Linked DNA regions of Elephas maximus indicus. The protein of the gene in region 3 purifies or fractionates together with the protein of the main gene of each other region. This does not show direct contact. Links are inferred from orthologs where the notes say so. Each region holds a gene or a part of one and is shown on either strand. Other genes may lie near its edges.

Region 1 (7,808 bases), on a different chromosome or scaffold from region 3:
GTAAAATATTCTTAAAGATGAGGTAGCGGCATTTAACACATTCTCACAAATGAAAAAAATAACCCAAAATCCTAATGCACCTTTTCTGTCATTGTACTTATTACACAAGGTCTGTCTCTCCCGCTAAACTGTAAGTCTCTTGAGAGCAGGGACCGTGTCGCCACCTCTCTATTTCCATCCCTTGGTATAAGACAGGACTTCAACATTTGCTGATTTGCTTTTCCTTTATAAAAGAGTCTTTTGGTCCTAATCTGCAAGCACACATTATTATATAATTAAAATACTAATGTATACACTATTTTTGATAATGCTGTTTTCACTCTATTTTCCATGTTCCAGTCTTCATAATATTTTAAAGCTACAAGCTATCCCACTGCATTTATAAATAACTTAGAAAATCTCCTAATGTTGTCTTTGAAGGTTGCTTCCAGTGTTTTTATATTGTAAAGCTCATGTTGCAAACATACCTTGCCTGACAAGTTTCACAGATCTACTTCTCAACAGAAATATTGGGCTCAACTCAAAAAGATAACCTTGTACAGTAAAAACTAAAGTTGAAATATAAAGATTTTTACTCCAATAGATAGAATTTTGAAAGACAACACACGTATACACAGAAACTAGAATTCTATTTTGCCAAATCAACCATACTATAAGTCCTCTATTTTGAGATGTTTTTGTCCAAAGTAAACTATGTTGTATAGGACTGCTTCACATATATTAGAAAAGATAATTCTGGGGGCAGACAGTAAAAATTCTGAGGTAAAAGACAAGATTCAATAATTAAGTCTAAATAGAACTTCAACGCTTTTGGAAGGGGGCACGCACTTAAGTCCCACTTCCTTGGGTGCATAGAGCTTGCTCAGATCCTCAGGTTGCTTACAAATATAATCAACTTTGGGCTTCTGGAGATGACCTGATTCCTCTTTCCCTCCATTTATAGATTCTAAAATAATAATCTACTCATATACCTATAAGCACTTAAACCTTGACCTTAACCAAAAAACCAAACCCAATGCCACAGGACAGAGTAGAACTGCCCCATAGGGTTTCTAAGCTCTAAATTAAAAAAAAAAATAAATAAATTTATTGTGCTTTAGGTGAAAGTCTACATAGTAAACTAGTTTCCCACTCAATAATCCACACATTAATTGTTCTGTGACTTTGGTTGCAATGCCCACAATGTGTCAGTACTCTCCCCATTTCCACCCTGGATTCCTGTTTCCATGCGTTGGGCTTCCCTGCCCCTTCCCGCCTCCCCTTCTTTGCTTTTGGGCAAATGCTGCTCTTTTTAGTCTCATATAGTTGGTTGTTCTAAGGAGCACATTCCTCACAGGTGTTAACTGTTTATTTTACAGGCCTGTCTATTATTTGGCTGAAAAGTGATCTCTGCAAGTAGCTTCACCAAGCTGTAACTCTTCACAGAAGCTGACTGACTGCCACATCTTTCTCCTGCAGAGGGGCCTGTGCATTGGAACAGGGACCTTTCCGTTGGCAGCCGAACCACTGTGCCACCATAGCTCCTTAAGCCTTGACCTTAGAGTGAACATGTGAAAAAGTGAACTATATTGTAGTGATAGGAAGTTAGCTCACATACTTATTCATTAACAAATTTGGCTGAGCATCTAACTAATGCATTTCTGCAGTATTGGTTCTTCATTGATTACCAAAACCATTGACCAGGTTTCCTTTGTTTGTCTATTTGGAGAAGAGAAGGAAGAAACAAAAAACAGCCAACTATGTTATAATTTAACTGTGGTTCAATCATGATTGCTAACAATTACCTCCAATAAGACAGTTAAAACAATCTATAAAAGGTAGCTCCATTGTAGGGAGAAGAGGACCTTTGAGGACAAATGATATGCTCAAACATGTAATTTTTTAAAGAAAAATGCTATTTAATTTCTATTTTGTCTATGTCAATTTTTTCATGATGCCCAATGAGTGATATATTTATAGTTTTATACTGTGTTCTTTACAGGCTTTTTCATACATGCATACACACACACACAATCGCGACTCACCCAGACAAACACAACAAACCGTTAAAACAGTATTTAAAGCAGGAATTCTATAGCTATTGCTGAGGATATGGAATCTTTCCATTCACAGACTGCATTAACATTCCACACAATACAAAAGCGCATGCCATGACAAAGACCTCCAAACGCAAACATATAAAGCACGCTTCTAAAAACGCCCCTAAAGCGAAGTTCACAGCTGGCACTTGTGGCACCCTCAAGCCACTGCTGTGGCAGCTGTCACAGGCCAATCACACACACCCAAGAGTGCCAGCGTGCCACCTAAAGAAGCCAAGCTGATGATCAGCGCACAAATCCCCCACCGAATAAAGCCCCAAATCCCCACCCAGAAAAGCACAATGCCTGCACCACCCAGAAAACAACCTAAAAGAGTGAAAAGCTGGAGATTTAGAGGCAATACATACTAGCTAATAGCAATATAGTAAAAGAGGCGTTTCATTTGCGCATTCACGAGAAAGAGCCACACGATCCAATCATTACGGAAGCATTTTTTTTAATTTGCTAGATGGTAGCACAGGGCTTTTTTCTCCTGTGGAAAAAGGGGAGAGGGTGGCGGGGGGAAATAAAGACCCTGCAGCACCTTCCTCCCAGGCAGCGAGCGCACTGGGGCTGCTGCGATCTCCGCTTCCCAGGCTCCCCTCCACCACCCCTTTCCAGGCGCCGCCTCCCACCGCGGGCCCGGCTGCGCCCGGCTTTCCTACCTTCGCTTTGCCGGCCTCCAGCTTCTTCTGTCTCTCGTCGTCCTCCATGGCCTCTGCGGAGAAGGGTGGGGGAAGACGGGAAAGGGATCGAGGGTAGAAAGGAAAGGTCGATTCAGACGGAGGTCCCGGCCAGCTCCGGGGCCCAAGGAGCAGGGCCGGGCCCAGCGCTCCCCGCCCCGAGTCGAACAAGTCTCCGCGCTCACTGGTGGGTAGTCCTCGACCGCACGGGCAGCGCCGTCACCACCGCCGCCATCTTCGTCTCCACGTAAACACGCGGCCGGGCGGGAGGGGGGGCACGTCAGTCCGCGCAGCCGCCGCGAGCCTCGCCGCACCAGGCAGGTGCGCCCGCGGCCCTGAGCCGCGCGCCGCCCTGGGAGCGACCCCGGCCGGCAACCCCCGCCACCTACCGGCGAGGGGCGGGCGGGAGACGGCGCCCTCCCGACCCTAGACCTTCCTGGTCCTCACCAGGGATGAACGGCTCCCAGGTTGCGGCGGGGTTGGGGGTGGGTGGGGTGAGGACGAGGTCTGACAGAGGGTACCCAGCCCGGCCCCCATTCGCCGTCCTACGGACTCAGTGGTCGCTTTTAAAACCCGTTGCCGTCAAGTCCATTCCGACTCATAGAGACCCTACAGGACAGAATAGGACTGCACCCCATAGAGTTTCCAAGGAGCGCCTGGTGAATTAGAACAACTGATCTTTTTGTTAGCAGCCCTAGCACTCAACCACTGTGCCACCAGGGTGAAACTGATAAACGCTGAAAATCCCCGGAGGAAAAGTGGTGATAGCCCTGGCGGTTGTATCCTTTCACTGTACCTATTCAATCTGTATGCTGAGTAAATAATACAAGAAACTGGACTGTATGTAGAAGAACAGGGGATCAGGATTAGTGGAAAATTCATTAACAACCTCCAATATGCAGATAACACAATCTTACTCGCTGAAAGTGAAGAGGACTTGAAGCACTTGATGGTGAAGAGCGAAGACCACAGCCTTCAGTATGGATTGCACCTCAACATAAAGAAAACAAAAATCCTTAACATAAAGAAAACAAAAATTGGACCAACAAGCAACGTCATGATAAATGGAGAGAAGATTGAAGTTGTCAAGGATTTCATTTTACTTGGATCCACAATCAACAGCCATGGAAGCAGCAGTCAAGTAATCAAAAGACACATTGCATTGGGCAGATCTGCTGCAAAGGACCTCTTTAAAGTTTTGAAGAGCAAAGATGTCACCTTGAAGACTAAGGTGTGCCTGACCCAAGCCATGGTATTTTCAATCGCATCATACACATGTGAAAGCTGGACAATGAATAAAGATGGCCGAAGAACTGACACCTTTGAATTATGTTGTTGGCGAAGAATACAGAATATACCATGGACTGCCAAAAGAATGAACATATCTGTCTTGGAAGAAGTACAACCAGAATGCTCCTTAGAAGGAAGGATGGCGAGACTGCATCTTACGTACTTTGAACATGTTATCAGGAGGGATCAGTCCCTGGAGAAGGACACAATGGTTGGTAAAGTACAAGGTCAGTGGTAAGGAGGAACACCCTCAGTGAAATGGGTTGACACAGTGGCTGCAACAATGGGCTCAAGCATAAGGATTGTGAGCATGGCACAGGATTGGGCAGTGTTTTCCTCTGTGGTACATAGAGTCACTATGAGTCGGAACCATCTCAACAGCACCTAACAACAACAACAACATAGAACCATGTAGAAATGCCCCATAGGTTTTCCAAGGCTGCAATCTTTACCACTGCAGATCGTCACTTCTTTCTCCCAAGGAGCGGTTCCAAGGTTCAAACCAAGAACCCTTCAGTTAACAGCTGAGCACTTAACCATTGCACCACCAGGGATCCTCCAGTAAAAAGAAAAAAAATTACAGATTAGGAAACCCTATGGGGCAGTTCTACTCTGTCATCTGGAGTCACTATGAATCAAAACCAACTTGATGACACCTAAGAACAACAATATAGGTGAATGGTATGTAAAATCCAACCTGTTGCTGCTGAATAAATTTTGACTTATAGTGACCCTACAGGACAGAGTAGGACTGCCCCATAGGGTTTCCAAGGAACAGCTGGTGGATTTGAACTGCCAAACTTTTGGTAAGGAGCCTAGCTCTTTAATGACTGCACCACCAGGGCACCAATGGTATATAAATAAAGAAAATAGGAGGGAGCATAGTGATTTTTCTTCCATATTTTATGAAGGCCTGAATGGTCATTTTAATCATTTAAAATGACTTGCTTGACTTCCCATGGTTGGGTAGCAAAAGTCCTGGCTGGATTAAGATCCAGACTTCCTGACTCAAGTCTTACTCCATTTTACTAAACTGCTTTCCAAACAAAATGAGTACTAGAATAAAAATATGCATACAAAAACAGAATGTGTTAAATAACACTTATGACAAATTTGTTGGTGTTAAGATTTCAAAAAATAATGCATAGGTAGGAACAACCCAAGTGTCCATTAAACAATATGTGATATATACCTACATGCCATGGAATATTATTCAGTCATAAAGAGAAATGAAGTTCTGACATGGATGAACCTTGAAAACATTATACTGAGTGAAATAAGTCAGACACAAAAGGACAAATTATTCTCTGATCCCACTTATATGAAAAATCCAGAATAGGCAAATGCATAGAAATTTGCCTGTTCTGGAGGGAATAGGAGTCAGTTATTGCTGAAGAGGTACTGAGTTTCTCTTTAAAACCAAAAAAAAAAAAAAAAAAAAACACGAACCCATTGCCGTCTAGTCAATTCCAATTCATAGTGACCCTATAGGACAGAGTAGAAATGCCCCATAGGATTTCCAAGGACTACCTGGTGGATTTGAACTGCTGACCTTTTGGTTAGCACCCATAGCTCTTAACCACTACGCCACCAGGGTTTACAAGTTTCTCTTTAGTGTGCTGAAAAAATTTTGGAAACGGCAAGTGGTGAAGGTAGCACAACATATTGAATGTAATGTCACTGAATTGTCCACTTACAAATGGTTAAAATGACAAACTTGTTATACGTATTTTGCCACAATAACATTTTTTGAAAATGTAATTCATGACTTAGGAAACTAGTACACATTTGAAGTGGCTTATAATCTAATGAACTGTTAAAAAAATCTAAGATGTTACTATTATCATGATAAGGAATTATAAACCTGTAATTCAAGACACTGCACTGGATTACTGAGTAATAAAATATATACTGACATCACCTTGAAGGATTTTCATATTGCCAAACAGTCATGGAATGTAAACTAAGTGAGCCCCCAAAAGAGTTGTATCAAGGGTCCATATAGTGTTTACAGTAAAAATACATTTAGTTTAAATATGAAAAGAAATATCAAGTAATTAATCCTTAAGTGTCTCTTCTGTTTCAGCCAAGAGTCTGTGAAACTTTAAGTACCCACTATGCTTACAACCCTTTTTTAAGGAAATCGCCTTGAGTTCCTGGAGCCCTGGAGGCATAGTGAATAAATCGCTGTGCTGCTAACTGAAAGGGTTGGTGGTTCAAACCTGCCAGGCGCTCTGTGAGAGAAAGATGGGGCAGTCGGCTTCCGTAAAGATTGTTGTTGTTCTTGTTAGGTGCTGTCCAGTTGGTTCTGACTCATAGCCACTCTATGTACAACAGAACAAAACACTGCCTGATGCTTGTTATGCTTCAGCCTGTTGCAGCCACTGTGTCAATCCATCTCATTGAGGGTCTTCCTCTTTTTCACTGACCCTCTACTTTACCAAGCATGATATCCTTCGCCAGGGACTGATCCTTCCTGATAACATGTCCAAAGTACGTGAGACTAAGTCTCATCATCCTCCTTCCAAGGAGCACTCTGGCTATATTTCTTCCAAGACAGATTTGTTCATTCTTTTGGAACTCCATGATATATTCAATATTCTTCACCAACACCATAATTCAAAGGCATCAATTCTTCTTGGGTCTTCCTTATTCATTGTACAACTTTCTCATGCATATGAGGCAATTGAAAATATCATGGCTTGGGTCAGGCACACCTTAGGCCTCACCTTGACATTCTTTGCTTTTCAACACTTTAAAGAGGTCTTTTGCAGCAGATTTGCCCAATGCAATTTGTACTTTGATGTCCTGACTGCTGCTTCCGTGGGTGTTGATTGTGGATCCAAGCAAAATGAAATCCTTAACAACTTCAATCTTTTCTCCATTTATCGTGGTTTTGCTTACTGGTTCAGTTGTGAGGATTTTTGTTTTCTTTATGTTGATGTGTAATCCATACCGAAGGCTATATTCTTTGATCTTCATCAGTAATTGCTTCAAGTCCTCTTTGCTTTCAGTAGGCAAGGTTGTGTCATCTGGATATCGCAGGTTGTTGATAAGTCTTCCTCCCATCCTGATGCCATGATCTTCTTCATATAGTCTAGTGTCTCGTATTATTTGCTCAGCATACAGATCGAATAAATGTGGTATAAGGACAGAGCCCTGACATACACCTTTCCTGATTTTAAACCATGCAGTATCCCCAACAAATGCCTCTTGGTCTATGTACAGGTTCTGCATGAGCACAATTAAGTATTCTGGAATTCTCATTCTTCACAATGTTATCCATAATTTGTTATGATCAACACAGTTGTATGTCTTTGCATAGTCAATAAAACACAAGTAAACATCTTTCTGGTATTCCCTGTTTTCAGCCAAGATTCATCTGACATCAGCAATGATATCCCTTGTTCTGGGTCCTCTTCTGAATTGGGCTAGAATTTCTAGCAGGTCCTTGTTGATGTACAGCTGCAAATGTTTCTGTTGGATCACCTGTCTTTGGAATGGGCACAAATATGGATCTCTTCCAATCGGTTGGCGAGGTAGCTGACTTCCAAATATCCTGGCATAGACAAGAGAGTGCTTCCAGCATTGCATCCGTCTGTTGGTATTCCATCAATTCCTTGATCCTTGTTTTTTGCCAATGGTTTCAGTGCAGCTTGGGCTGCTGCTTTTAGTACCATCGGTTTTCGATCATATGCTACCTCCTGAAAGGTTGACCAATAGTTGTATGTCGATCAATTCTTTTTGGTACAGTGAC
Region 2 (7,429 bases), on a different chromosome or scaffold from region 3:
CTCAGCCTGGCAAGCCCTGCCCATCCTCCTGGACCCCAGCACCCAGTCACCACTACACCTGAGGCTTTCTTTCTTCAGCCCTCTCCCCCAAGCAGAGCCTGCAGCAACCTCTTCAGGCTCCCACCAGCAGACTCAACTCTCAAGTGCAGGCAAGGATATGCCCTCCACCTGCAGCCCCATTCTCTGGCCACAATGCCTGACAGGTAGCAGGTACTGAGTAAGCAAATAATTTGGCATATGGGAGGTACACTGAAGGTATTCACTTAACTTTAAAGGCAATGTACCACCTTTCTCAGTTAAAATTGCCCAGGTTCCAACCAATGTCACCGAACAATGTGTGTAGAAATTGTTGCACGGGAACTTAAACTGCTGTGTAAACCTTTACTGAAAACACAGTAAAATGTTGTTTTTAAAGTGCTCAGTCAACCGTTTTACATAGGAAAGTTTGTAAAACAAATTATACACAAAAACCCCTAGCTAACAAAACAAACCAAAATACTGCCCAGGTTCCAAATACAGAATCTCAGACAGAAGCCTGTCTATCTGGACTAGGGCCACAAAAGGGCAAGCCGTGGGGCAAGAGGTTCTATCCAGGATAGAAAGGTCCTAGTGTGTCAGTATTTCAAAATGCCCCGAGCACCAAGAAGAATCTGAGCTTCAGCCCCATCCCCCTCCAAGGCCGGGCGTGAGTTCTCAGAACAGTTTCCCTCTGCCCTTAAGCTCCAGGGCCCCCGCTTCGCTGCTACCAAAAATTAGAACTGGGGAAGAGGCTAGGGCTATCCATAGCTCTCTTTCAGGGAGGCCCGTTCAACACATTTTTCAAGTTCCAAGTGCTCAAGTTCTCCTCCTGAAGGTGAGCTTTGGGATTGCATGCCACCCCCACAGTTCTGCCTTTTCCATCCTTTATCTTCTCACTGAACCCACAAGTGTCTTTTGTATCAAAAGGGTCCTCAGCCCACTCAATGCACAACAGGCTTGATACTAGCCTAGCCTGGACCCCACACCCACTCGCCCAAAGGCAAGGCACTAGCTCACTGTATCCACTAGCACTGTGACCTCTGGCTCTGCAGTCAGGTATAGAACAACCAACATCAGAAACTCGGGAGGGTCACAGTTCGCTCTGGACTTGGCTATTTCCATCGGACAAGCTGCACAGGTATTTTAATCCAGGGTCAGACACGCAGGTTCCAGTCATGTATCTCACCGCTGCCTTCACTTTACCTGCCACGTTCCTGGCCCAGAAAGATAGCCAAAGAGCAGGGCACTGCCCGTCAGCAAGCAAGGGAACAGCTAATTACGGCTCTGGACTAAGGTGTCTGCCACCACGTGTATCTACCCAATTCATGTTGCATGCTGCATTCTTCCTCCTGGATTCCCAGGTGCCCAGCACCCTGCTGCAGTGTCATCCTGGCTGGCAGGGAGACAAGAGCTCCCCTCTGCACCCCGAAACCACACCACACTGTGACCAGTGGGGCTGACCTACAGTGCAGGGGTATCTGCACTTTAGGAGGCCACTTGTAACTGGGAGTTTCTGGGTGATGAAAATGGTTAATGCATTTGGCTGCTTAATGAAAACCCACTGCCCTCGAGTCCATTCCCACTCATAGCAACCCTATAGGACAGAGTAGAACTGCCCCATAGAGTTTTCAAGGATCGCCTGGAGAATTCAAACTGCTGACCTCTTGGTTAGCACCTGTAGCACTTATCCACTACACCACCAGAGTTTCCTTTACAGTGGTAGAGGCTGGCGCAATTCAAGTCCACCCAGATGCACCTCTGAAGAAAGGCCTGGCTATCTGCTTCTAAAAAATCAGCCATTGAAAACTCTATGGAGCACAGTTCCACTCTGACACACTGGAGTCACCATGAGTCAAAATCAGCTTGATGGCAACTGGTTACAGCTAACTGGCGCAGCCTCGGCCTATGGAAAAGCCAAACCCCTGCCCCATCCATTCACATAAGAAGCAACTTCCCCTCAGGTATATGGCAGGGGGGGAAGGGGCAGGGCTCTACTTTGCCTTTCATGTATTTATTTGCTTTTTGCAATATAAGGCAAGTGGAAGTGACCAGCAATAATAGTTTCTAAGGTCAATACATTTCTAAAGAACCTTTCTCTAGGAAATGCACTTCTTTCCTATGTGTCTAAAAAGAAGCCCCCGGAAAGTGGGATCTACTGTAGGCTGACAGCCAGGAAAGCTGGCGATCTGGTTTGGTTTCATCTGAAATTTGGAACTGAAAGTATTTCTGGTCCCTCCCTCAGGGGATATGGCTGTTGGGAGTTGGAACCCGGGGAGAACTCCCGTTGGGGGAGAGCGAGAGCGGTGCAGGCGCCAGGTACAATTCGCATTCCAGGGACCGAGGCTACTCCCATCCTCCGCTGCCACAAGGAGAGACCGGGGGATCGGGGATTCGCGGGGAGACACAGGGCACAGAGGGAGCGGGGCCCGGCCCGCGCTCCCAGCAGGCCACAGTTTCCCGTTCCTGGGGAGGGTCTCCCGTCCGTACGGGGGCCGAGGCGGCCCGCTCACCTCTCGCGCCGAGCGGAGCTGCTGACGCAGCGCGTCCTTGCAGCCATAGGGGCCGCGGTCACCGGTGCCGCGCGGCTGGAAGTGCGCCTCGACGCGCGTGGCCCCGCGGTAGGCGCCCTGATAGAAGGCAGGCCAGCCGAGCTCGAGCAGCGGCGGCTCCAGGTCCGACTGCTCGGGGAAGTAGGTGCCGGACGAGCAGTCGTGGGACGAGCCGAAGGAGTCCTCGGCCCAGGCCACCGCGCCCTCCTCGCCTGGCCGCTCGGCCGCGCTGAGAACGGCGTGCACCTCGTCTGGATTCAGAAAGCGGCCCAGGCGCTCACGTCGCAGGAAGGCCGCGAAGGCGTCGGGGCCGCCGGTCACCAACTCCTCGAGCGCCAAGCGCCGCGCCTCGCTGTACAGCTCGGCCGGGTTGGGCGGCCCGCACGGCGACAGGCAGGCGGCGGGCAGTTCGTCCAGGCCGTCGGACCGCAAAGCCATCGCAGCAACCTTAAAGAGCCACGCTCAGGTGAGTGCGGGCGTGCGGGCCTGCCTTTATAGGCACCTTTGAATCAAATCGGCCCGCGCCATTGGCCGGGCTGCGCCGTCCCGCTCTACCATTGGCTGTGATCCTGGCCCGCCCCGCCCTTCACCCAGAGGCAGAATCGGTCCGGAGCAAGCCCCGCCACGGGCCCGCCCCCTGATGTGCTATTGGCTGCCCCACAGGCCGGCCCTCCCTCCGCGCCTCGGTATTGGCTGCCGGTTGCTTCCGAGCCCATGCTCTGCTGGTTGCTTCGCGGGATTTAAACTTAGTTTACTGTTCGCTGTCTGCAGGAGGCAGAATTCCGCCTTACCTGCTGGAGAGAGAGGGCCCGGCCTAGGCCTGAGCCGGCATGCTGCCCGGGGTGGCGGCTCCGGGCGCGGAACCCGAGGGTTCGGCCCTGGCCATTTTAGCGCGCCTCCTGCCGGCCCACTCCACAGCTCGTTCCTACCTGGCCACGGGGCAGTCAGGCTTAGACCTAGAAGAGAGACTGGCACCTGCCTCTCGCCCCCGCGCACGCTGACCGCGCTGCTCCTAGAATCCCAGAGCTTGGTGCGACCAGCCGTGGATTTAATCCCCTGGATTTAATTATCAATTTATTCATGCCAAAAATACCGGTTCCTCGTAATAACCGTTCCTTTGATTACACCTTCAAGTAGCTTGTTTTTCTCTAACTTCATCGTTTTGCCTGGCAAATCCCCAACCCTGATTGGTTAAATTCAACTCTCTGTTTACTTTCCATCTGCACCTGAACACGTGGCGGGAGAAAAACACACAACTGTGCTTACTGCTCCCGCTCTAAATTCATGATTTTGTGATTTCAAGTGGTGCTTTAAGGCTGCCTGCTAGCCTGGGATTTCCCTCTTCATTCACTCTACCGTTTCCCCTCTCCTTCTGACTCTCAGATGATAACTTGTTTTCTATTTCACTGAGGAAATGGAAGCAATCAGAAGAGAATGTCCACATGGCCCTGCCTGTCTGTATCTCTGCCTACATAATCTGCTTTCTCTCCTTTTACTATGAGGACTGTCCGTGGGCCTGGCTGAGGTCAGCCTTTCCATCTGGGCACTAGCTCCCCGCATCCACTACTAGCCCATCTCTCTCCAGCAATTCTCTCCTGGATCATCGTTTTCCCATCTTTACTGGTTCATTCCTATCAGCATACAAACGTGCTGAAGTACTTTTCGTCTTAAAACAATGCCCTGTTGACTCTACATCCCTCTAGAGCTACCTCCCGTTTTCCTGCATAAACCTTTGAAAGAGTCGTCTGTACTTGCTGTCTCCAATTCTCCTCCTCCAAGCCTCACTTGAACCTTCAGTCTATGTCCCTACTTGTAGTTATTATTAGTTGCTGTCCCTACCATTCTATATCAAAACCTTTTGTCAAGGTCAACAATGAGCTTCCTGTTGCTAAACCCAATAGTCAATGGTCAGACCTCATCTTCTTTGTGTAAAAGAGAGGATCTGTAAAACCGGAAAGTGCTTCATAAACGTGAGAGGTTACCATTTATTATGTAGGAGCCAAGTTATCATTTATTATGTAGGAGCCAATAAATTTTTACAAGGAATGAATGCCAGCCGCTCCTAAGACATGTCTGTCTTCCCATCCTCTCTTCATCCCCAGCCTGGCTGTGAATTTTTTAAGCCCACATGTGGGGCCTTCTGTGTGTCCCTGCTCTGGAACCCAACGTCCAGAAGAATGGAAGAGAGCACCTTTCCATCCTCTTTTGAGACACCAATAAACTTCTGCATATGACAAGGACAAGGCCTGTGGTCAGGGGGTATGCAACTGCGTAGCTTGTCAATGCCTCTATTCCCTGAAATAAAAATGAAAATAACCAGGGTCTTATGTGCTGAATTGTTTTAATAAGGTGAAGAATTATATAGTATTTTACCTCCCCAGTATAAGTTATATGATAAGGACTAGGATGGGGCGGAGGGGAAGGGGACAGGACAAGTTAATATACTCCAAAAAGGGAACAAGGAAGAGGGGCACCCCTGTTATACATAAATATGTCACTAGAGAAACCTTTGAAATGTGGGAGATTTAGATGTATATCTAAACAGAAGATTTCAAAGAGCACCTCAAGAGGACAAAGTAAACTTCTATAACAACATGTGCAAAGACCTGGAGTTACAAAACCAAAAGAGAAGAACCACATGGCATTCCTGAAGCTGAAAGAACTGAAAAAAAAATTCAAGCCTGAAGTTGCAATATCGAAGGATTCTATGGGCAAAATATTGAATGATGCAGAAAGCATCAAACAGAATTGGTCAACTTTCAAACACTTCAGAAGGTAGGATATGATCAAGAACTGATGGTAAAGAAGGAAGAAGTCCCAGCTGCACTGAAGGCATTGGCGAAAAACAAGGCTCCAGGAATTGAAGCAATACCAACTGAGATGTTCCAACAAACAGATGCAGCACTGGAAGTGCTCACTTGTCTATGCCAAGAAATTTGGAAGACAGCTACCTGGCCAACCGACTGGAAAAGATCCATATTTGTGCCCATTCAAAGAAAGGTGATCCAACAGAATGAGGAAATTATCGAATAATATCACTAATGTCACACATAAGTAAAATTTTGCAGAAGATAATTCAAAATTGGTTGCAGCGGTACATCAATAGGGAACTGCCAGAAATTCAAACCGGATTCAGGAGAGGATGTGGAACAAGGAATATCATTGCTGATGTCAGATGGATCCTGGCTGAAAGCAGAGAATACCAGAAATGTTTACCTGTGTTTTATTGACTATGCAAAGGCATTCGACTGTGTAATCATAATAAATAATGGATAACATTTCAAAGAATGGGAATTCCAGAATGCTTAATTGTGCTCATAAGGAGCCTTTACATAGACCAAGAAGGCAGTCATTCCAATAGAACAAGCGGTACTTGGTGGTTTAAAGTCAGGAAAGATACGCATCAGGGTCGTATCCTTTCACCATACTTATTCAATCTGTATGCTGAGCAAATAATTCAAGAAGCTGGACTATGTATGAAGAACATGGCATCAGGATTGTAGGAAGACTCATTAATCTGCATTATGCAGGTGATACAACTTTGCTTGCTGAAAGGGAAGAGGACCTGAAGCACTTACTGATGAAGATCAAAGACTTCAGCCTTCAGTATGCATTACACCTAAAAATAAAGGAAACAAAAATCCTCACAACTAGACCAATAGGCAACATCGTCATAAACAGAGAAAAGATTGAAGTTATCAAGGATTTTCGTTTTACTTGGATCCACTATCAATGCCTGTGGAAGCAGCAGTCAAGAAATCAAACGATTTGCATTGGCCAAATCTGCTGCAAAAGACCTCTTTAAAGGGTTAAAAAACAAAGATGTCACCTTGAGGACTGATCCAAAACATGGAATTTTCAGTCACCTCATATGCATGGGAAAGCTGGACAATGAATAAAGAAGATGGAAGAAGAATTAATGCCTTCGAATTATGCTGTTGGTGAAGAATACTGAATATACCATGAACTGCCAGAAGAACAAACAAGTCTCTCTTGGACGAAGTACAGCCAGAATGCTCCTCAGAGGCAAGGCTGCAGAGACTTTGTCTCAAGTACTTTGGACTCATTATCAGGAGGGACCAGTCCCTGGAGAAGGACATCATGTTTGGTAAAGTATAGGATCAATGAAAGAGAGGAAGACCCTCAACAGATGGATTGACACAACAGCTACAATTATGGGATCAAGCATAACGACAATTATGAGGTTGGCGCAGGACATAGCAGTGTTTTCGTTCTGTTGTACATAGGGTCGCTAAGAGTTGGAACCGACTCAATGGCACCTAACGACATATATAAAACCAGAGCCCTGATGGGACAGTGGTTAAGAGCTCGGCTGCTAACCAAAAAAGTTGGCAGTTCGAATCTACTAGCCGCTCCTTGGAAACCCTATGGGGCAGTTCTCCTCTGTCCTATAGGGTCACTATGAGTCAGAATAGGCTTGACGGCAACAGTTTTGTTATAAGTAAAACCCAACCAGTTAGCATCCAGTCAACTCCGACTCATGGCAGTCCCCTGTGTGTCGGAATAGAACTGTGCCCCATGGGGTTTTCCGTGGTTGATTTTTCAGAAGTAGGTCACCAGGCCTTTCTTCTAAGGTATCTCAGGGTGAACTCAAATCACCAGCGTTTTGGTTAGCAGCTGAGCACACGCATTAACAGTTCTCATCGCCCAGGATGTGTGTGTCTCTTTTTCTCTATATATTTTTGTTGGGTGCCTTCCAGTCAATTTTTTACTCATAGTGACCGCATGTGACAGAGCAGAACTGTCCCATAGGGTTTTCTAGGCTGTAATCTTTATGGGAGCAGATGGTCGGGTCTTCTTTCTGCAGAGCTGTTGGTGGGTTTGAACCACCAACCTCCTGG
Region 3 (7,206 bases):
GTGGCCCTCCCTCAAGCTCCATCTGCACAGCAGGCAGCTAGAGAAGGTCGGCCAGCACTGGGTCTTCTTGCTCACAAAGTGCTCAGCAAACACAGGGACAGACTCCCCTCCCCACATTTGCAAACACCTACAAGCACTGAAGTCCGAGCTAGACCCCCAAAGCCTGGAATGCCAGTCTCAAAACAAGGTGAACCCTACCTTGAGCAGTTCAGAGCTATCTAATGTCAGAGTGGCGGCAACAGGAATGCTTTTAACCAGAATCTTACTAAATTCCTATGACCAGCTTTTCAGGATGAGGCCCCAACTCAATTGCCTAACTGCCTACACGAATGGGAACCAATAACATGGATGACTCAATGTACCTCACAGTGCTGGCCCAGCCTCTTGGACTCTTCACCACAGTATATGATGATTTTGCTCTAACCAACTGACCTAGCCATGTCTTACTCAAGCTAACAAGATCTCTTCACATTTCCTTGGTGGGGCAGCATGTAGCCTCCAAGAACATAGACTGTGAGCCAAAACCAATGCTGACTAACTAGAAATTAATCCGTCCTGCCTAGCCCCAGACAGGAGCCCTGGTGGCACAATAGTTAAAAGCCTAGCTGCTAACCAAATGGTCAGCAGTTCAAATCTACCAGCCACTCCTTAGAAACCCTATAGGGATAGTTCTACTCTGTCCTATACGGTCACCATGAATTGGAACCAACTTGACAGCACGTTACGACAACAGGCCCACACAAGTCATGGGCTGCCTAGGTGTGCCAATCCAAGTGTCCGGGAGCCACAGTGCACCACCTCAGAACACACAAAGAGGAGAAGCCTGAGAACAGACCCCTCGGGGCCCATCCCCCACCTGTATTAAACACCCACGCTGGGTTTAATATGAGGGAGGCCCAAAGGACACCACGGCAAATAAGCAGACAGGGTTCCCGCTCCAAGCTTCCAGCCCTGTGAGAAGAGGGCACCCCTCTGTGAACGACTCAGTGAAAACAATTCGGCAACTTAATGGTCTGAATTTATCTTCTGAAAGCACAAAGCTGTTTGGCAAGATCTCAGATCAGAGAACAAAAAGTTTCAAATCATCTACTTCTGATGCCCGTGTAAGGCTGGATAATGCATTGGCTTTTCAGTACAGCTCCCAGATCTGAGATTAAGACTTTTGCCAAGATCTCCTCCATAAATAAGGCAAACAGCTTGCATTTACCCAGCACTGCACTCCCAAACAGGCTGAGAACGCACCCAATGACTCCTTCGGTATAAATATTTAAACAGCAAAATCCAAGCATCTCTACAGCAGCCTTTCTTTAGCAGGCCAGTAAGGCAGAAGTATGGCCCACAGGCATCCACCCAGCACATGATGAGTTACCCTGGAGGTTAACCAGGCACCAAGAGCAGTGGGGGAGCTCCCCAAACATGTTAGCCACAAGGTCTTGGATCTCCTCCTCAGTAACAAGGGGAGGGTGGGGGTGTCAGCACAGACTTGGCTAGTCTGAAAAGCCAACAGAGAATCACTGTACACCCAGGAAGAAGACAGCGGTTCCTGGCCCTCCCTAACAGGCACACGAGCCAAACAGAACAGCCAAAGCGGGCTGCTCAACAACAGGCCATGTTTACCCTGAGGTTATGCAACAATTCTTCTGCACACTTGCCGGCACGCCAGGCTCATGTTCTCAAGTTCAGGAAGCTTGAGAAGCTTAGACACAACATGCTTGCTTGGGAAAATGCAGAAAAACTTGGTTATTTTTCAATTCCCAACTTTAAGATTTCAGCCATTCTTTTATCATAAGCCTGTGTATATACGTGCTTTTTTAAAAATCCCAAACACTTCAGCTGAAGCTTGAAAATTCTAGAGCCCTGGTTGCGCAATGGTTAAGCATTTGGCTGCTTACCAAAAGGTCAGCAGTTCAAATCCACCAGCCCCTCCGTGGAAACCCTACGGGGCAGTCCTACTCTGTCCTATAGGGCTGCCATGAGTCAAAATTGACTCCACAGCAATGGGTTTGGTTTCTGAGCATCCCAACAGCCAAATGCCAGGCTCAGAAACACAACTTTCTTCCTACTTTATCAGCCTGACTTTGTCCACAGTAACCTAACTCTTCACCTCTAGGCACCTTGCTTTGGCCTCACTTGATGCTCAACCTGTCCTCAGCGGTCACCCCGAGCCCCTACGCTGGGCTAAGATGCAAACAAGAGTGCTCTCAAAGCCTCCCTCCAGTCTCAGGGGAACTAAGGTCACAGCCCAGAGAGGACCCACCGAGGCCCATCCTGCAAAAGGCAGGAGTATAAAGCAACAAGAAACCAGAGTACCTAGGAACACAGCCACAGGATGTCCCACCTCCAACCGCATTCCAGTTGTTCTGACATTTTCCCCACGTGTGTGAGACGCAGCCGTGAGCCCCATGGGGGCTGCGGAGAAGGAGCCGTGGCCTTTACTTGTAGGCGACAGGAGGGCGTGGGGACGAGCACAGCCCGACCCTACAAGGCCGCAAGGTGGCCGGGGGGACAGCGCCTCGGGAGCTCGCCGACGCCCGAGACTCCCACGGGGCGCTGCCCCTCTCGGCCGCAGCTGTCCAGGCCCTGCCCACGCCACCCGCGGCACAGCTACTTCCGGCCGGCGACTGGGACTCGGGGCGCGGGGGCCGAGAGCGGGGCCGGGCGGGGGTCAGGGACCGGGACCGAGGGCGGGACTGCGCGGGGGTCAGGGCCGGGGACCGAGACTGGGGCCGGGCGGGGGTTAGGGCCGGAACACGGGCAGCCCCCGCCTCCTCGGCCACCAGGCCCTACAAGCGCCCCCAGCTCCCGCGCCCGGCCAGCGGAGCCCCCTTTTCCGGCCTCTTGGACGCCAAGCTCGGTCTCGAGCTGTCGGGGGGTGGGGGGTCTTGACACGGGGCGAACCCAGTGAACCGGGCGCGGACAGGAGTCCCCCCGCGAGGCCCCGGACCCCGGCGCCCCGCCCCGGCGCCCTCGGGGCCGGGGGCTCGCCCTCGGGGGCCGAACGCCGGGTTGGGGTCGGCTCCCGGGGCGGGGGAGGGGCGCGGGGGGCGGCAGGGGGGCGCCGCGGCCTCACCGAGATAGATGTCTCCGAAGGAGCCGCTGCCGATCTTCCGGCCCAGCCGGTACCTGTTCCCGACTCTCAGCTCCATGACTGCGGCCCGGCTCGCTCCTGTCTTCCCGGCCGCTTCCTGGGTCTGAGCTCCGGTGAGGCGGCGCCCCTGCTGCCGCTACTGCGGGTCCGGCTCCCGGCTCCGCCCCCCTCACGGCCCCGCTTTCACCATCGCTTTCCGGCCTCCCCGCCGCTCCCAGCGCCTCAATACGGGACGGATGGGACAGTCCGAGTGCCGCCGCCCCTGCTCCGGCCCCTGCCGGCCCCTGTGGTCCTCTCCCCGCCGCGGATGGACTCGGATCTTCCGGGCCTAAATCCCCCTTCGGCTGCCTAAGAGAGCCGCCGCCATGGCGCTGTGACGTCACTTCCCCTGGCAACACGGAGGGGCGGGGCCGCGCCGCTCGAGGGGCGGGGTCGGAGCGAGGCGGGAGGGGGCTTTGGGTATGGACTTTATTTAAAATTTTTATTGTGCTTTAAGTGAAAGTCTACAAATCAAGTCAGTCTCTCACACAAAAACTTATATACACCTTGCTACTTACTCCCAATTGCTCTCCTCCTAATGAGACAGTCCGCTCCCTCCCTCCACTCTCTCTTTTCGTGTCCATTTCTCCACCTTCTAACCCCCTCTACCCTCTCATCTCCCCTCTGGGCAGGAGATGCCAACATAGTCTCAAGTGTCCACCTGATCCAAGAAGCTCACTCCTCACCAGCATCCCTCTCCAACCCAATGTCCAGTCCAGTCCATGTCTGAAGAGTTGGCTTCAGGGATGGTTCCTGTCCTGGGCCAACAGAAGGGCTGGGGGCCATGACCACCGGGGTCCTTCTAGCCTCAGTCAGACCATTAAGTCTGGTCTTATGAGAATCTGGGGTCTGCATCCCACTGCTCTCCTGCTCCCTCAGGGGTTCTGTGTTGTGTTCCCTGTCAGGACAGTCATTGGTTGTAGCCGGGCACCATCTAGCTCTTCTGGTCTCAGGTTGATTGTACTCTCTGGTTTCTGTGGTCCTTTCTGTCTCTTGGCCTCATAATTACCTTGTGTCCTTGGTGTTCTTCATTCTTCTTTGCTCCAGGTGGGTTGAGACCAATTGATGCATCTTAGATGGGCGCTTGCTAACGTTGAAGACCCCAGACACCTCTCTCCAAGGTGGGATGCAGAATGTTTTCTTAATAGGTTTTATTATGCCATTTGACTTAGATGTCCCCTGAAACCATGGTCCCCAAACTCTGCCCCTGCTACGCTGGCCTTCAAAGCATTCAGTTTATTCAGGAAACTTCTTTCCTTTTGGTTTAGTCCAGTTGTGCTGACCTCACCTGTATTGTGTGTTGTCTTTCCTGTCACCTAAAGTAGTTCTTATCTACTATCTAACTAGTGAATACTCCTCTCCCACCCAGGGTATGGACTTTTGATCAGGGTGAGGCTGGGGGTACAGGCCTTGGGATAGGGTGGAATGGGGGGGACGCTTAGGGCATCTGATCAGGGTGAGGTGGGGGCTTTGGCCATGGGGAAAGGGTGGGGCAGGAAGCTTGGGCACCTGGGCGGGCCGGGGCAGGGGGCTTTGGGCATCCGGACAGGGCGGGGTGGGGGGCGTCTGGGCGGGGCGAGCGCACTGAAGCCTCCTCCTGGGGCTCCTTCCTCGCCCCGCCCCCAGACCCATCCTGCGCACCGGCTCCACGTGCTCGCGCTGGGGCGTTGTGTGCCCCCGGCAGGTCTAGGAAGCCTGGGGATCCTACGGACAGACCTGGGCGGGGCCCTAACGCTGTCCTTTTGCGGGATGCAGAGATGGCACTAGTTTTTTTTTTTTTAGAGAGGGCCAGAGTCTGTCCCTCCAGCCCTGGACCTGCGCCACCGGGGTCGGCAGGTCCGCTGAGGCACCCAGGCGGGATGCAGGTGTGCGCTGGCCTTGTGGTCCTGCCAGGGACATCTACTGGTCCGTCCCTCCAGGAGATGCCAGTTTCTGGATTTAGGGGGCTTGGGAATTGAGTGCCTGTAGCCTTCTAACACCTCCTACACCCCTGGAACTCAGATATAAAGCAAAGGGAGGAGTAGGCCACCCAGGACCCAGGTCAGGGGGCCCTACTGGGTGAAGGCTGGGTTGATGCAAGCAGGCCTCCAAAGGGCGAGCTGACACCACCTCTCCAGTGCCATTGCCTGGGCCCCAAGTGAGCATCTTTACCTCATCTGCCTGCATCTGGATATTTTTAATTGCAAAATAGTGCAGGATGCTCAGGCACCAAGTTGGAACTCTTGACTCGGACCATTGGGAACAGCCTACCAGAGTGGCCCCCAAGCCCAAGCAAGCTTCTGTAGACACCTCCAGGGGCAGATGACCCAGTAAGCAAGGTAAGCACAGGCTTACTTATGCTTGCTTACTAATGTGTAGTGAACAATTTCACACGGGTGATTGGGTTATCTGTCTCTGTCAGGGATTATAAGTTTGAAAAGAGGCTTTGTAGGAAGGTGCTGTGGGGTTGGGAGAGAGACAGATGCCAGCCACACCTAGAAGCACAAAGTTTGATGTGGTGAGAAAAACGTGCTTACCTTTCCTATTGAATAACCCGCCCCTCCCCGCCAACCCCCAGCTAAAAAAGAACCATGAAATGGGTTGATGAAACGCACTCCTAAACATCCAGCAGGCATCCCGCTGGGCACAGGGTTCACAGAGGCTAAAGAGAGGGCATGGAGGGTGCGCTGGCCCCTGGCACACAGCAGAGCTGCCTTTTCCCACTTGGAAGTCTCCCGTCTCTGCCTTCAGCCTCAGGCATGCAGCCCTCACCAAAAATAGTTGGAAGTCCAGTAGTCCAAACAGCCTCGGACTGGTACAACAACAGATATATAGACCAATGGAGTAGAACAGAGAATCCAGACATAAATCCATCCACATATGAACACCTGATATTTGACAAAGGCCCAAAGTCAGTTAAATGGGGAAAACACAGTTTCTTTAATAAATGGTGCTGGTATAACTGGATATCCATCTGCAAAAAAAAAAAAAAAAAACAAGACCCATACCTCACACCATGCACAAAAACTAACTCAAAATGGATCAAAGACCTAAATATAAAGTCTAAAATGATAAAGACATGGTGTAAACAGTATACAAGACATTACTAACAATGTGCAAACACCAGAAGAGAAACTAGATAACTGGGAGCTCCTAAAAATTAAACACCTATGCTCATCCAAACACTTCACCAAAAGAGTCAAAAGACCTGACACTGCCCTTTTGCAGGATGAGGAGAGAGCCGGAGTCTGTCTCTCCAGCCCTGGACCCACGCCACCGGGCGTCTGCAGGTCCTCGGAGGCACCATCCCTACTGGCCCCCGGAGGGGTAGTATCCAGGTACCAGGCCTGGCCACCTGGCAGTCCAGCCTGGGAAAAAGTTTTTAGCTATGACATTTCCTATCAGCATCTGATCTCTAAAGTCTGCATGATACTGCAAAAACTCAACAACAAAAAGACAAATAACCGAATTAAAAAATGGACAAAGGATATGAACAGACAGTTCACCAAAGAGGACATTCAGGCAGCTAACAGATGCATGAGGAAATGCTCACGATCATTAGCCATTAAAACCCACTGCCACCGAGTTGATTTCGACTCATAGCGACCCTATGGGACGGAGTAGAACTGCCCTGTAGAGTTTCTAAGGAGCACCTGGCGGATTTGAACTGCCGACCTTTTGGTTAGCAGCTGTAGCACTTAACCACTACACTACCAGGGTTTCTGAAATGCAAATCGAAACTGCAATGAGATACCATCTCACTCCAACAAGGCTGGCATTAATCCAAAAAACACAGAATAATAAACGCTGGAGAGGTTGTGGAGAGACTGGAACACTTATACACTGCTGGTGGGAACGTAAAATGGTACAACCACTTTGGAAATCGATTTGGTGCTTCCTTAAAAAGCTAGAAATAGAACTACCATATGATCCAGCAATTCCACTCCTTGAAATATATCCTAGAGAAATAAGAGCATTTACATGAACAGATATATGCACACGCATGTTCATTGTAGCACTGTTTACAATAGCAAAAAAATGGAAGCAACCAAGGTGACGATCAATGAATGAATGGATAAATAAATTATGGTATATTCACA
Region 4 (7,194 bases), about 59 Mb from region 3:
GACCCAGATCAAGACCTGGCACATAGTAAGTGATCATCCTGTTGTTAACAAGGAGAGACAGAGATGAGGGGAGAGGCTTCAGCAATGGAGAAGCGGCAGGATATGAAAATTTCTGAAAAGGTGGGGGAGCTGCACACCGAGTCCTAGAAAGCAAAGAGGGGCCTGATGTGGATGAATAAGATGCCAAGCTGGGCCCAGGAGAGCTGCATTATACAGCCCTCAGCCCCTTCCACCTGATCTGCAGGACTGTGATGAGTAGTACCTCTCAGGGTTCCCTGGATGTGGGTGGCAAGTGAAGAGGCCCCCAAGCTGCTGCTGACATAATCAGCTGTGGGTGTGCTCGCGTCACTGTCACATGGCCTAAGCTTTCCTTAACAATGGTGTTCCCCATGGGGTGGGGCTCGGAGGAGGGCTCAGTGCAAAAGCTGGGATACAGAGGTGTTATAAAACAACTCAGAAAGACCGAAGCAGAAAAACACAGAGAACAAAGGCTTCAAGAGCCTGGATGCTCAATCCCCTCTCCTTGAAAATGCTTCCCCCATTTCATATACTTACTGCTCCCCCTCGACTGTGGCTCTCTCGCTTTCAGACACCTCTTCTCTAGAAACATCCTTTTTCTTCTTCAGCTCTCCCCAAGGATTTAGGTGTGATCTTTCCCCAACCTGCCCTCAGTGCCTCCTGACCCGGGCAGGCCTTGCTCTCCTAACGCCACCTCCGTATCTATCTTCTGGAAAGGCAAGAGGGTTTAGCGCTCCAGCAGCCCCCACCTGCTCCCAAGGCCTTGGCCTTCCTGCCTCACGGTCCCCACAGTAACCAGGCCCTGCTGCCGTCAAAGGAGGCGAGGGGGCGGGAGGCAGTGGTGACGTCAAAGCGGAGGTAGGAGGCGGGGCGAGGCAGCCCGGGAATGTGGGGCAGGGAGGCTGGAGAGGCAGCGGTTTGGGAGGCGGCCAGCCCGAGGGCGGCGGCCAGCGTACTTAGGAACATCATGTTCCCTTGGCTGGTGGCCCAGGACATGTACCCAGCCTGGGCGCCTCCCCTCAGGCCAAAGACAGCCTTTCTGTCCCAAAGCCAGGGATTCCTGGAGAGACGATTAGGAGGAAAGGGGTTCCCCCCCCCATACACACACACGCTGGCTCTCTTCTCAGGACTCGCAGCCACCCTCCCTTCGGCTTGTTCCTGCAGCTTCTGGCACTGGGTTCCCCTCTCAAACTGTACACATCTGCTGGCCCAATGCCAAAGAGTCAGGGCGGGGAAACTGGAGGCCTAGGTTCTGCCAGAGAACAAGTACCTTTGCTCCCTCCCAGAGGCCCCCTTTCCGAGCCTGAATCTCATGTTACCATGGCAGCGGGGGGGGGGGGAAGGGAGGAGAGTGTGAATAGGGCGAGGAAATCGAACTGGGACAGAGCAAGTGGCCCAGCTTGGAGCCTGGATCCTGGGAGAAGAATAGAAGGAGGAATGAGGGAATTTGGGCTGCTGCCTGAGGACCAGAAGGATCAAGGAAGAGGGAGGGAGGCACCAAAAAGACTTGAGAATGTGAGAAGAGTTCCCAGCCACAACAGTCACATAAATCTCTCACCCTGTCACTGGTTTTCTTTCTTTTTTTCAGAAAGATTAGGGCTCTATAGCCATCTTTTTCAGCTACCTTTTTTTTTAAACATGGCCCAGGCATTGGGCTAAACACTTCACATATATCATTTTATTTAATTCCGTTAACAACCTCATGAGATGGGTATTATCCCCATTCCACTGCAAATGACTAAGGCTTAAAAAAAAAAAAAAGGCTTAGAAGTTACTAAATGCCTCAATTGTCTGCCTCATAAAATGTTCTCAGGCTCTTAACAAAAGGAGCTCAAGTCTGCGTTCTGATAGCGGCTTGTCGTTCTGGCTTCCAACCCTCCAGAAACCGGTGAGGTATTACCCAACCTCTAAGCTGCACGCCAGCGCTGGGAAACTTAGGTCTCTCAAATTCTAAGCCAACTCTAAGTTTTGTGTCTAGAACACAGACTCAATCCTCCTCCTTCTCCTCCTTGGGCCCCATCTACAGACATTCAGTTTGCACTGCCCACACCCTTCTAAACATCATATCCCCAGTTCTCATGTGCTCACGAAGTCCTTGAGATCATCCTAGAAGCCACCAGCCCCAATGCTTTCCTGGGATCCCACTTCCTCACTCTCCCACCTTACCCCAGGCCACTTTATCGCCACATTGCCTGGCTGTTTGCACCGACACCAGACACGCTATTGGTGCCTCCCCACATCCAAGGGATCAGGAAGACACGTGTACAGGCGATCTGCACAAACCCCAGCCCCATCCTCCACCTCCAGACCCCATAGCTGTTCTCCTGCCCCTACCCCCAAGGATGCCTCTCAGGCCCAATCTCTCCCTCTTACACATGACAAAGGGACCAGAGACGTGATATGCAGCTTCTGGCACTGGCTTCCCCCCTCTCCCAAACCGTACACATCTGCTGGCCCAGTCACAAAAACCACTACACCACTCTTTCTCTCAGGTCACCATGTCAACCCTTCGGTATCCTCCTTCCCGCCCTACTAGAACCCCCGCGTCTTTCAAGTCCGTAGGCAGCTACCCAAACAGCGGCCACGCACTGAAACATCCACCGTCAGCTCTCATGGGTCCCGCCCCCGTCCCTCCCCGGGAGCAGGGACCTTAGCTCCCTCAGAAGCGCAGAAGGCAATTAAATGTGAGAGACGCCCACCCCCCAACTCCCCTCTCCCCGTTCTTCCAGAGCTCTCTGGTTCGCGGCCCCTATTCCCCACAACCATCAGAGTTCCCACCGCGGCGTTCGCATTTGCAGATGCTCCACTCCATTAACACCCCTTGTGACAGAACACACCCTCCTGGAAAAACCGATACCAACTGCCGTCCTCATCCCCGGGACACTCACCGCTGGGCACGCACAGAGTTCAATTTCCTTCAAGTGGAACCAGCGACTAGGACTTGCTCCTCCAGCCCCGCCCACCGGCCGGATTGCCACGCCCTCTAAGCTTATTGGCCTAAGGGAGCCGACCCATGCCCCGCGCCGCGTGCAGCCGCCCGGCCTCCGCACAGCCTCCATTGGCACTGCTGGCCGCTGTCATCTTCTGATTGGTTCGCCTGCCAATAGGCAGTGACAGATCCACGTGCGAAAAGGACCGCCCCACCGCGTTAATTGGAAGCCTGACCTGAAACCACGCCCCCATTCACTTCTGACGTTCTCATTGGCTGTAGAAACATACCCCCGAGTCGCCTAGATCGGTGACGCAGACGTCGGTCTAGCTCGCCAAGCTTTCTCATAGGCTGAGAGGTCTCGGAGATGTAGGCGACACGTGCCGGCGGGCTCACGCGGCAACTTGTTTACCTAGAAGCTGGGGATTTTCCTTGACGACACTGCTAGCCTGGACCGCGAAGTCTGCGCAGGCGCAGTGAGCGTGACCTACACGCAGGCGCAGATGAGAGCGGCGTTGGCGTAGGTGAAGGCATCGGGAAAAGGGCGTTGTGCCGAGACGGGGTCGAGCCTTGCCGGGCGTGACAACACCGCCTCCTGCGCTGGGGCGCCAGCCCTAGGTCCTTGAGGGTCCGGAAGCTGGAAGATGCGAGCATTAGGGGGTGAAGCGGTCTTCAGATCTCAGCACCACATGATGAGGATGGCCATGAAGATGATAGCTGCCTATTGATTGAGCGCTTTCTGTGGGCCGCGCCAGGCGCTTCTCACAAATCCCAAAAAGGCAGGCTCACTAACTACCCACCGCCTCACAAATGAGGAGACTGAGGTCCTGAGAGGTTTCATAATCTGCCCAGAGTAACACACTAGTCAGTGGAGGGATTGAGATTTGAGCCCAGTGCCCTTATACCACAGAGAAAGCGAGTTCTAGGACCTATGGGAACCCTAAACCCAGGAGGATTCGGTAGATGGCCCTGAGAGGTCTCTGGCACACAGGAAGCTCTCAATAGATGATGGACAGTATAATGACTGTGTACCTAACTATAAAAATCACCTGGGCTGCTTTATAGAACCGCTGAATCAAAATCTCCAGGGAAGGAGCTGGCAAGTTTGGGAAACGCTATCTAGGTTTTCTGTAATGCTGGTTCCTCAGAGAAGCCCGGCCCTCCAGAGCTTACCTAGCACTTCCCACCCACTGTTGAAGTGTCTAGGGACAGGGATGATGGGGTACCACATCGGATAGGGGCGTCATGGGAGTTAGGTGTGGAGTCTGGAGTCACCAGTCAGTCGGCACAATGTGCGGGTGTGCAGGGGTAGTACGTCCTCGAAAGCCAGCTCCAGGCCACGCTCAGGTGGGTCTCCCTAAGCTAATCAGTTCAACAAGTATTTGTTAACGCCTCTGAGTGCTGACACTGTGCTAGACACAAAGGAGAAAGAGATGCTTCAGACAAGCTGGTCATATACTTGAGTGGCCACAGGAGTGCCTGCAGGGCACCTAGGAGTTAAATCTAGGGACAGAAGGGGATCCAACAGCTGAAGCATGCTCCAGGTGATAGGGAGATGGAAAGCTGGGACTCCCAGCCTGAACGGTTCACCAGGCTTAGGGACACAGCTGTCATGAACATTTTTCCCCCGTTACCAACTCCTGGTGCTCCCCCCACGTGGCCAACTTGGGAATCACACTTTGCACTGCCCAAGGTCGGGCCCTTCTGCAAAGCCCAGTCCCTTCTTTTCAATCTTCCAGGTATACCAACAGATCCAGAATCCTTCCCACTGGTTAAGAAAAGATCTTAAAACAGACACCACCTGGTTACTCATCACACATTTATTGTACATTTTCACAATCTGGATGCGCCACAGAATTGGGGGCACAGGAGAGGGGAAGAGGGGGGCAGGGGACACTGGGATAATATGGGGGGTCTAGAACACAGTGCCCCCACCCCAGCATCTCTCCCTACCCTTCACACCACAACTTAGATGTCCCTGCTCCTCCCCCCCCCCACAGAAAACCTCAAGTGTGGGGGAAGAAAAAGTTTGGGGGGCCCCCCTCCAGTGGCAGGTTAAGGGACTGAGCCCTCAGACCCCTAAAATTGTGCCATTTAAAAAGACAGTTGACCCTTCATCTACCACTTCACCTAAGGAAGGGACAGCGCTCTCTCTGGGCTCTACCACTTGGAGAGGACAGAGGATCCCCAACTTCCAGCAAGTCCCAACACGCATTGGCAGTGACTAGTACTCCCACCCTGCATCCAGCGGGGCAGTCTGAGGAGCTGGGCAGTGATGGGGGCAATACTCCCCAGAAGGAAAGGTTTTCAGTCCTACCCCCAAGCAGGGGTGGGACCAGAGGAGATTTTAGGCAGGAATTGAGGGGATTCTCTGCCCTGCCCCATGCCTCCCCAAGGCAATGATAGCCCCTCAACACTGGTAGCCACCCCTCCCAAAAGAGATCAGATGTGGCCAACCCCCAACTCTCCTGGTGGGAGGAGAAGGTGAATCAGGCAGATGGGAGGGAGGGAGACCCCATGGGAATGTCAGTTGAGCTCCCCACTCGAAAACTGGGGAGCAGGAATGTGGGTAGAGACCCCGAGTGGCAGAATTATATTGGTCCGTCATAACACACTGAACTCCAAGACACATACACCAGCCAGGGAACGGAGAAGAGGGGCCAAGAGGTTTGGAAAATGGGGGTAAGGGAGGCAAACTGGACTAGAGGGGTTAAGAGAGGGCAATTCTGGGGACCAGAACAGCCTGGTTCCCCAAAAGCTCAGGCTCCCCACCACCTGCAAGTAATGCCATGAAAATGAAAGCGTGATACGAGAACCAATGGGGACTCCTCAGTAAAAAAGAAACATGGGTGAAGAGTGATGAAACAAAAAAGAAACCAACAGAGATGTCAGTATGCAAATGATATGCTAATAAACATGCTGGAAGCTTCCCAGAAGACCTTGGGATTCTTAGAACCCTGTGGGGCCAGTCTCAGAGCCTCCCAATGGATGCAGAGGAGATGCACCTAGGGAGGTCTGGACAGTTGCACTTTGTTTTGAGGGGAGGGCTGGGTGGAGTGGGGATGAGTGGAAGGCCTGGGTAGGAAGAAGGATCAGCTAAATCCAAGGAAAGGAAAGGAAAGGAAGAGGGACTATTGCATAGCAGATGCAAATGAAGGGACTTGGGGGAAAGGAGGGGAAGGCAAGGAAAGAAAGAGAGGAGGTGATGGGAACCTCAGGAAGGAGTGTTAAGGACAACCGGAAAAATCTTCTAGTAATAAAACTACAAACAGACCAAATATATATAATATTATATATGTATAAATAACAGCTGGCTATTTACAAGGGGACACACACAGACACACACACGGATTCAGGGGAGGGGCTGGAAGATATGGCTGAGAGGTGGAGGAGCGGCTGGGGGGAGGAGGAGAGGCCCCTCTCTGGGCAGGGCAGGCTCCTCAGGGGTTTAAGTGCTGAAGTAAACTGTGGAGAGAGGGAAAGAGGAGGAAGGGGGAGCAGGGAGAGAGAGAGAAAGATAAAGAAAGCAGTGTGTCAGGCCTGGCCCTGCTCCAGTCCTCCCCACTCCCCGGCTGACTGACGTCCCTTTCCCTCTCTGGGCCTCAGGTTCTCCATCTATAAAAGCAAGGAGCTGGACAGGCAACTTCTGAGGTCCCTTTAACTCCATGGTATGGCCCTGGGACCACAGACCCCTAGTCCTCTAGGTCTCTGAGCCCACAAGCTCTCAAAGAGTGGGGTGGTTGGCTTCTAATCTTGAGCTCCTGGGCCTCTCCTGCTCTCCCACTCCCCAATTCCAGGGTACTCAGCCTGGGCTCTCAAGGCCCAAAGGGTCTTCAAGGGAGCAGTAGGGATCCACCAGCTTTCCTGTTTCCAAAATCTTAACAGAAATCGCCCAAAGCCAGGCAAAGTGCAGGCTAAACAACATCAGGTTTGGGGATCTAGATGAATCAGAACTGCCACTGGCAGCTATGTATGTTTTTTGCTGAATAGTAAAAACAATGTTAATGACCTTCAAAACCCAGGATCCACAGGGGAAACCTCTCCAGAGAAAGGGCCCTGGCCACCCACTCCCCACTCACCGATGATGATGATGAGGATGATGGCGCAAATCACTCCCAGGATGATCATCATCTGGGGGCAAGAGGGGAGTCCATGAGACAACCTATGCTACCCCCATTCGCCCAGCAGCCCTCCTACCCGCCCCCCAGCCCGCCCCCACCCTTACCTTGAGGTTTTTCCACCAGTAT

Evidence for each region.
Region 1: the proteins of CSNK1D (region 3) and AKAP9 purify together in Homo sapiens (affinity purification with mass spectrometry; 4 studies listed by BioGRID and IntAct, counting the BioPlex papers as one, with this or other methods). This does not show direct contact. The link is inferred for Elephas maximus indicus from reciprocal best matches to the Homo sapiens genes CSNK1D and AKAP9.
Region 2: the proteins of CSNK1D (region 3) and FAM83D purify together in Homo sapiens (affinity purification with mass spectrometry; 4 studies listed by BioGRID and IntAct, counting the BioPlex papers as one, with this or other methods). This does not show direct contact. The link is inferred for Elephas maximus indicus from reciprocal best matches to the Homo sapiens genes CSNK1D and FAM83D.
Region 4: the proteins of CSNK1D (region 3) and PER1 purify together in Homo sapiens (affinity purification with mass spectrometry; 4 studies listed by BioGRID and IntAct, counting the BioPlex papers as one, with this or other methods). This does not show direct contact. The link is inferred for Elephas maximus indicus from reciprocal best matches to the Homo sapiens genes CSNK1D and PER1.

What each region holds. Positions count from the first base shown.
Region 1 is NC_064826.1:61,954,015-61,961,822, reverse strand, and holds the start of AKAP9 (A-kinase anchor protein 9), read right to left. Parts: upstream 3,008-7,808; 5' UTR 2,792-3,007; coding exon 2,744-2,791; intron 1-2,743. UniProt on the Homo sapiens protein: Scaffolding protein that assembles several protein kinases and phosphatases on the centrosome and Golgi apparatus. Required to maintain the integrity of the Golgi apparatus. Required for microtubule nucleation at the cis-side of the Golgi apparatus.
Region 2 is NC_064843.1:30,577,827-30,585,255, forward strand, and holds the start of FAM83D (protein FAM83D), read right to left. Parts: upstream 3,006-7,429; coding exon 2,529-3,005; intron 1-2,528.
Region 3 is NC_064837.1:72,069,115-72,076,320, forward strand, and holds the start of CSNK1D (casein kinase I), read right to left. Parts: upstream 3,003-7,206; 5' UTR 2,405-3,002; coding exon 2,311-2,404; intron 1-2,310. UniProt on the Homo sapiens protein: Essential serine/threonine-protein kinase that regulates diverse cellular growth and survival processes including Wnt signaling, DNA repair and circadian rhythms. It can phosphorylate a large number of proteins.
Region 4 is NC_064837.1:12,620,683-12,627,876, reverse strand, and holds the start of PER1 (period circadian protein homolog 1), read right to left. Parts: upstream 3,007-7,194; 5' UTR 2,907-3,006; intron 2,693-2,906; exon of another isoform or gene 556-2,692; intron 548-555; exon of another isoform or gene 1-547. Other genes in the region: VAMP2 (vesicle-associated membrane protein 2), read right to left, coding at 6,959-7,078, 7,173-7,194. UniProt on the Homo sapiens protein: Transcriptional repressor which forms a core component of the circadian clock.